Macaca fascicularis: one gene and its partner. The protein of the gene in region 1 interacts with the protein of each later gene in a pairwise test. Links are inferred from orthologs where the notes say so. Each region holds a gene or a part of one and is shown on either strand. Other genes may lie near its edges.

Region 1 (4,106 bases):
CACAGGGAAGTTCCAGGTTGTACGGGTGGTGAGGAGCCTTGTGTCTGTCTGCGCTTGCCCTGGTGAAAAACCCACCGTTCAGGCTGCAGGGTGTGAAACCCAGGCACAAACACTTCGCTGGATGCGGAGGAAAGATGCAAGGTTGCTCCCCTTCAGAGACAGCAAAGGGCAGATCTGTAGCTCTACTTACTTCAGGATTATGATTTTTGACAGAGCCGGGAGATCAGGGTTGTTGAACCAGGCCTGAAGGTCCTAGTGAATCTCGTGAAGAGAGGAGGGGTCTGACTGTAACATGGACCTAGAGGACATTCTTACTGCAGGAGAAGCAACAGTGGGGATGGGGTGGACTTGCCAAAGGAATGTAGCTCAAGTTCCTGCAGCCTAAAGCAGCTCAGTTTCTTTCGGCCAAACTTTCGCGAACTTCCCTGGCATTTCTCCTGCGGGAGCTACCGGTGCAGTGGGACACTTAGCCTCTCTAAAAGCATCTCCACAGCTGTTTGTGTCAAGCCTTTATTCCAAGAGCCTCACTTTTGCGAAGTAACGTGCTTCACACATTGGCTTCAAAGTACCCACGGCCGGTTGCAGTAAACATTGAGGAGGCCTGTCTCTGCGCCCAAAGTTGGGTGCCCTCATTTCAGACGATTTCTAGGGTGCTTCACGGGATCTGAAGGACCCTCGGACTTTAGAGCACCACCTCGGACGCCTGGCACCCCTGCAGCGCGGGCACAGCGACCTCCTCAGCTGCCAGGCCAGCCTCTGATCCCCGCGAGGGTCCCTGGGTGCTGCAGGGGAGGTGAGGACCAGAATAAAGGAGCAGTTTCCCCGTCGGTGCCATTATTCGACGCTGGCTCTAGGGCTCGGCCAGTCTGTCTAAAGCTGGTAGAAGTTTGTTCTGTAAAACAAAAGAAGGGAAAGGGGGAAGGGGACCCTGGCACAGATTTGGCTCGACCTCGACATAGGCTGGGCCTGCAAGTCTGCGGGGACCCAGTCCAGAGGGGCAGTGCTGGGAACGCCCCTCACGGAAATTAACTCCTCAGGGCACCCGCTCCCCTCCCGCGCGCCACCCCCTTCCCGCGGGAGACCAGGTCCCGCGGGGGTCACCGCTGTCCACCGCCTCCGGCGGCCGCTGGCCTTGGGTCCCCGCGGCTGGTTCTCCTCCCTCCTCCTCTCATTCTCCTCCTCCTCTGCTCCTCCCGATCCCTCCTCCGCCGCCTGGTCCCTCCTCCTCCCGCCCTGCCTCCCCGCGCCCCGGCCCGCGCGAGCTAGACGTCCGGGCAGCCCCCGGCGCAGCGCGGCCGCAGCAGCCTCCGCCCCCGGCACGGTGTGCGCGCCCGCCGCGGCCAAAGCGGCCGGAGTCCCGAGCTAGCCCCGGCGGCCGCCGCCGCCCAGACTGGACGACAGGCCACCTCGTCGGCGTCCGCCCGAGTCCCCGCCTCGCCGCTAACGCCACAACCACCGCGCACGGCCGCCTGACTCCGTCCACTATTGATCCGGAGAGCCGGAGCTTGCTCTTCGGGAAGCAGCTATGCGACCCTCCGGGACGGCCGGGGCCGCGCTCCTGGCGCTGCTGGCTGCGCTCTGCCCCGCGAGTCGGGCTCTGGAGGAAAAGAAAGGTAAGGGCGTGTCTCGCCGGCTCCCGCGCTGCCCCCGGATCGCGCCCCGGACCCCGCAGCCAGCCCAGCCGCGCACCGGCGCACCGGCTCGGCGCCCGCGCCCCCGCCCGTCCTTTCCTGTTTCCTTGAGATCAGCTGCGCCGCCGGCCGGGACCGCGGGAGGAACGGGACGTTTCGTTCTTGGGCCAGGAGAGTCTGGGGCGGGCGGGGGAGGAGACGCGTGGGGCACTGGGCTGCGGGCCGGCGGGGAAACGGCCGCCTGGACCTCCGGCGCCCCGAACCGCTCCCAACTTTCCACCCTCACTTTCCCCGCCCCGCTGCGCGGAATCGGCGTCAGTGGGCGAAAGCCCCGTGCGGGTGGGTGCCTGGGGCCGGGGTCCCGCACGTGCGCCCCGCGCTGTCTTCCCAGGGCGCGGCGGGGTCGCGGCGCGCACCCGAGGGACTGGCGCTGCCCACCCGCCGAGGCTGCGCTGTTTAGGGAAGCTGAGGAAGGACCCCGAAAATAAAGCCTCCCTTCGGACCCCGCGGGACAGGCGGCTTCCTGAGCGAACCTCCCTGCCTCCGCGCTCCGCGCAGGTCTCAAACTGAAGCCGGCGCCGGCCAGCCTGACCCCGGCCCCTCTCCAGGTCCCCGCGATCCTGGTTCCCAGGTGTGGAGTCGCAGCCTCAACCTGGGAGCTGGGAGAAGTCCGCCACCACCTGCGGCGCCTGGGAAGGGGTGGTGCTGGCGGCGGTGAGCTTCCTCGTTGGCAAAAGGCAGGTGGGGTCCGACCCGCCCCTTGGGCGCAGACCCCGGCCGCTCGCCTCACTCGGCGCGCCCTCGTCTTGCCGGTCCAGGTATGCCCCCCACCTCCTGGGGACCCGAGCTCCCTCCCGGGCGCCCGCGCAGAAAGGCCCGGGCTCTCGTTCGGTGGCCGCCTCGCGGGGACGTCCGGGTCTGCCCCACCTGCAGCCCTTCGGTCGCGCCTGGGCTTCGCGGTGGAGGGGGACGCGGCTGTCCGGCCACTGCTGGGGGGATCGCGGCCTCTAGTGCGGAAGCCCAGGAAGCAGAGCTCATCCTGGCCAGCACCACAGTGTTTCAAAATGGGGCTCACAGCAAACTTTTCTCCTCAAAACCCGGAGAGTTTCTTTCTTGGATGTTTCTTTTTGCTGTCTGAAGAATTTGACATTGAGCCAACCAAAATATTAAACCTGTCTTACACACACACACACACACACACACACACACCGGATTGATGTCCCTGGTTCAAGTGTGCCAAGTGTCCAGACAGAACATGAGCGAGTCTGGCTTCGTGACTACTGACCATAAACCCACTTGACACGGGAAACATGCCTCGGAAGGTTTAATTGCACAATTCCAACCTTGAGCTGCGCGGGTTCCAAGAGCCAGGCCCGTACTTGCTGTTGATGTCACTGGCATGGGGAGTTGGGGTTTGGTGCCCAGCGCGGTCGTTGGGGGAGGGGCAAGACATAGAACAGTGGTTCCCAGACCTTGCTGCACGTTAGAATTACCTGGGATTTAAAAAAAAAAATCAAAACAAAAACCAGTGTCTGAATCCCGCCCCCAGACATTCTGATTTAATTGGCATGGGGCAAGACCTGGACATGGGATTTTTTTTTTAATGCTTTTCATGTGATCTGTTGGGGAGCCAGGTTTGGGGATCACCGGACGGAAGAAGGATTGTTAAAGTCTCCGGAGAGATTACTTGCCAATGCAAAGAGCTCTTTGAGGACATCTGGAATTTTAACAATGTTGCCAAATATAGGAAAGAGGGAAAAGGTGGGGTGTGGTTCCAATAATAAAAGATTCCTCTTTTCATTGAAGGAACTGGTGGAAAGGTTTCTTCTCTGCTGAGCTTGCAGGGCCCCTCCTGCCTGCTTGGGGGCTGACTGTGGGTCCTGTTAGTCAGGTGTCAGCCCTGTCTCTGCTGAAGAGACTCTTCTCTTTATTTTAAATTAAACCCTCAGAGCACCTCCAAAGCATCACTTTTCTCCCTCCAGTGGGGTTCTCATTCTTTGATGTTACTTGCTTGAACACCACTGTTAGTGATTGGAGATTTGTTCCTGAGAAAAATATAAATACCACTTAATTTGCCTGTTTATCCTGTATTCACTCAAAACAGAAACTCCTGAAGACAGAGAGAGTAGGTGAACAGGCGCTATTCTGTTACAGTAACATAAAAGACTGAATTTTCAGGGGCAAATTATTAAAGTAGGAGATGAGCTCTTTTAACAGAAATTTGTTTGAGACCTGTGTCTATCAAATTCAGTCGATTTTATTCAAGATGCACTTCGTTTAGTAAGGGTTTTGTTTGGTTCTGGGACATGCTAACTTCTGGACTTGCTGCTCTTAGACGTAATGACTGCCAGACACCGTTTCATGCGTCCTAATCCCCACATTAAGCATAAGAGGTGTACACTCTCCTCCTATGGGGGAAACTGAGGTACAAAGAACTAAAGTGACTTTCCCACCGCTGGTAGGAGGCAGATGTAA
Region 2 (4,314 bases), on another chromosome or scaffold:
CCCAGGAGCCCGCGCGCCATCTTTGCCGCAGCTGGAGGGGCAGGGTCAAGCACGCACGAGAAGCTTCATGTTGTCATTGGTTACTCCCATTGCGTTTACTTCCTCTAGGCACATTGGAATTGGTTACTTCGACCAAAGGGGCGGGGACAAGGAAAAATCAGCCCCCTGACCCCGCCTCCTTGGTGAAGGAAGGTTGTGATTGGTCCGGAGAGGTTGCTGTCGGATCCGGGCTCTTTGAGGTCTGAGAGGGTGGGCTTTACCTAGACGCCGGAGGGGACCGATGTCTGTCTACGCAGGGCTCTGGAGCTGGTGCAGATCCAAGTCAGTCTCAGACAGTCCCCTCAACCCACAGCCTAAGCCCCTGGCCCTTGGGCCTCCGTGACACAGAACTTGCTTCCTCTTCCTAGGTTGTCCTTCACCTCCTTCAGGTTTTGCTTCTTTTGTAAAACCTTTTTAGAACGGCTCTAGTGAACCTCTCTAACTGGCAAGGAAATCTCTGGGGCCTGATAATCAGGCTGTGGTGTGGGGCGACAGGATTAGAAGGACTAGGCACCTGGTGGTCTCGTTCCCTCTGCCATGAGTCTTGGGTCTCTCAGCTGAAGAAAGCAAGAGTGAATTTTGGCCGCCTAAGACTAATCAACTGATCTGGGTGTTGAGCAGACGCAAATTTTTTAGTCCTAGAGCCCCATTGCCTCCTCCCCCAAAGTCGCACAACCACTGGGCTAAGGGAAATCTTGTGACCTTGGAGAAAGGGAGATATCACATTTTTAAAAAATAAATAAATAAATAAAGGTTCTAATGAGTGTTCTGAGAAGGGGTCAAGAAAGAGATGTCTTACTCTGAGGCGGGGCTGGAGGTCCAGAGGAATCTTTAAATGATAATGAGGGGTCATCCAGGAACACTGGAGGAGGATGGGGCCTAGAGTCGAGTGAATTCCAAGTGGGTGAAATTAGAGTGAGCGGTGACAATCAAGGGAAGGAGAGCTGGCAAGATCAGTATGATAGGGGGAGCAATGCCAGAGCGCTAGGGATCCCAACTGAGGGGCTGCTCTCTCCGATGTAGAAAGGAGTCTATAAGACGAGTCATAGGGGGTTCCTGTGGAATCAGCCTAAGGCCTGAGGTGGGACCTCCATAGGACACCGCCAGCAGGGAAGCGCGGGGCCCAGGCGGGCCAGGGACGAGAGTGGAGCGCGCCGGATGGCAGCAGCGGGCTCCTTTAAGAGGCCGGCGGCTCCATCGCAGCATCCCCCGCTCAGGGCGTGTCCGTCCCGGGGGGCCAGGGGCGGGGGCCCTGGAAGGAGCGGGAGTTCAAGCCGAGCAGGGACGGGGCTAGGGGTCGGGGGGTGGGGGCAGCAAGCTGAAGCTGACACCCGTGCATCCGGACACCGCACGAGCATCGCCTGTGACAGCGCCCCGGGTCCGGTGGAGGGCAGCGGGGGGAGGAGGGAAGGAGGAGGAGAAGGAGGAGGAGGCGGGAGCAGCATCCGGAGCGGAGCTGCAGCAGCGCCGCCTTTTGTGCTGCGGCCGCGGAGCCCCCGAGGTGAGAGCCTGGCCGAGTTGTGGGGGGGTGGGGGGCAGGGATGGGTCCGGGTCCTGGGATCCGGGCGTGGAGGGAGGGTCGGGATGCAGATGTGGCCTGGTGCGGGTGGTGGTGTGGGGATGCTGAAGCTGTGGGGATGGAGGAACTGGGGACCTGGACCCGACGCGTGTGGGGCTGGGAAGGAAGGGAATGGAGCGGAGAGATGCCGCGGCCCAGCTTGGAGACGAAGGGCCTCCAGAGCTGGAAAGGACCGTATTGGGGTGGGGTGGAGGGTGATTGGGGGACAGACTTAAAGGACAGAGGGCAAGAGAACATCTCCTCCCACTCATCCTCAGGAAGGGAGAGAGGGAAGGAGGAGGGAGAGTTTTGGCCCCCTCCAGGGAAGGAAAGGAAGGGCAAGGACTGATGTACCCACATCTCCCTCCACACACACACAGACACACACACACACACACACACTTAGCAGGCTGGACCTGAAGATTAGTCAGAGAGCACCTGTTCCTAGATGCCCAGGCGTTGGTCCCCTCCCCTTCCAGCTGTGATCCTCCTAATCCCCTCCAGCTGTGGCATTCACCTCCATCCAGCTGTTGCATCCTCCCCTCCCCCATTCACGTGTGGGTTTCTCCCTCCTCTTTCTCTCCATCTCCTCTGGCTCCCCTAACCCGTCTCCCCCAGTCAAACCCTCCAAAAACCTCCTCCCTTTCCCACAAACACTCCTCAAACTCATTGGCTTAAAAATAAGCAAGAGTTGAGACTTGCTGGTAACCAAGGCCTTGACTGAGAGGAGGGAAGAGTCAAGGCTCTATAGACAGTGGGAGGAAACAGTGAGGTGTCCCTTAGAATTAAGGGAGGAGTCCTACCTTGTAGATGCTCATCTGCTGCCTTTTTCAGAGGAGCATAGGTGAGTGGCCTCCAATCAGGAGGGAGTGCACATGAGGTCTCCTTACCCCACCCAGAGTCGTCTCAAGCCACAGTCAGTGCATCCCTCTAAACACATTTCCCTTGCAGTTCTCAAGGTGGACTCCATCGCTCTAGGAGCTCTGAGTTTCAGCCAGAGGGTCATACCAAGCCAAGGCTAACAGAAAGGATTTAGGAAGGAAAGGACTCAAGTGCCCCCTGAGCCTTCCTGTCCAGACACTGAAGTTTCTCTGAGCTTTAGGGCCCCACTCCCTCCTATCTCACACGGGTGAAAAAAACATGTGTGTCCCCTCAAGCATACCATTCATCCACTCACTCCCATTGTCAACTGGGGTAATGTTGGGAAAACCCCAGCTCTCAACATGTAGACCACCAGCTAAATACCCATCCCAGTTACAGACAGAGGAGGCAAGAAGTTAGATGTGGCTCAGGATTTCCTAGGCTTTCTTATAGCTGAAGAGGGCAGAACCCTTCTAAAAACCAATTGCGCCGGGCGCGGTGGCTCAAGCCTGTAATCCCAGCACTTTGGGAGGCTGAGACGGGCGGATCACAAGGTCAGGAGATCGAGACCATCCTGGCTAACACAGTGAAACCCCGTCTCTACTAAAAATACAAAAACTTAGCCGGGCGAGGTGGCAGGCGCCTGTAGTCCCAGCTACTCGGGAGGCTGAGGCAGGAGAATGGCATGAACCCGGGAGGCGGAGCTTGCAGTGAGCTGAGATCCGGCCACTGCACTCCAGCCTGGGTGACAGAGCGAGACTCCGTCTCAAAAAAAAAAAAAAACCAATTGCTCTTCCCCTGGTGGTGACAATATGGTAGGATCAGGCTTTTCTAGGAAGAGGACCCTTGGTTCTGCCACTCACGGCCCAGACTGTTGTAATCCACAGTCCTCCCTCTCCCCTGCCTGGATCTGGAGAGAAAGAAGGAATGAGAGAATCAGCCCCGTAAGAAGTCCTTGCTAGGGTGGACTGGAGATCACCCCTACATTCAGGTCCTCAGCCCTATACCAGTCAAGCCCTGGGACCCCCAGCTGCCATGCTTCTTCCAGTGAGGTGGAAATGTCTGCCCCTCATGCCCGCCACTCATCCACTCACTCACACTGTTGACTGAGGTGATGCTGGGAAGGAGGAGGATACTGTTGAGATGATGCCAGCAGGGGACATAGGGGCTTCATGAGGGCCTGGCCACAGAGACTAGTCTGTCCGGTTCATTGGCTCCCAGAAGCACTGGGGTCATATGTGTGTGTGGGGAAGGTGAGGAGACTGCGACAGTGACCAGATTCCAGAGGAGGCTAAAGATCATTCAGGATAGAGCCCTTGTCCTTTGGTTTCTTCATTCTTTGGTCTTTTTTCCCTCTTGTTTCTCCACCTCCCTTTCCACCTATACCCTCCCTACTGGTACTTGCTTTGAGAAAGAACAAGGGAAAGAAGGGAAGGGACTCACATTCATAAAAAACTTACAACTGTGTGTTAGGCACTTTCCATATGGCTAATGCTTAGAGAGAGCTTCTTGTGTGCCAGGTCCTGGGCGAAGAACTTTATTTTGATTGTCTTAATCATGCCCTTAACAAGACCAAGTGAGATAGTGTTATCATCATCTCTGATGGAGGAGAAAACTGAAACTTAAGTAATTTGTTGAAAGTAAAAAAGTTAGTATGTGGCAAGAGGTAGGATTTGAACCCAGGTCTGTGTGACCTAGAACCTGTGTTCTTACCCACCACATTATGTACTGCACTGCCACTGTGGGACATAGGTACCACTGTCCCCATTTAGCAATGAAGAAACTGAGGTTTGTTGAGAAGTCTCAAGCCAGGTCACCCAACTGGCCAGGAGCAGAGACAAGACCTCAGGAAGCCA

Evidence for each region.
Region 2: the proteins of EGFR (region 1) and MAP3K12 interact in binary tests that used the Homo sapiens proteins (3 or more experiments, as listed by UniProt). The link is inferred for Macaca fascicularis from reciprocal best matches to the Homo sapiens genes EGFR and MAP3K12.

The regions. Positions count from the first base shown.
Region 1 is NC_088377.1:75,386,169-75,390,274, reverse strand, and holds the start of EGFR (epidermal growth factor receptor), read left to right. Parts: upstream 1-1,264; 5' UTR 1,265-1,525; coding exon 1,526-1,613; intron 1,614-1,840; exon of another isoform or gene 1,841-2,449; intron 2,450-4,106. UniProt on the Homo sapiens protein: Receptor tyrosine kinase binding ligands of the EGF family and activating several signaling cascades to convert extracellular cues into appropriate cellular responses.
Region 2 is NC_088385.1:60,308,230-60,312,543, reverse strand, and holds the start of MAP3K12 (mitogen-activated protein kinase kinase kinase 12), read left to right. Parts: upstream 1-1,508; 5' UTR 1,509-1,540; intron 1,541-4,314.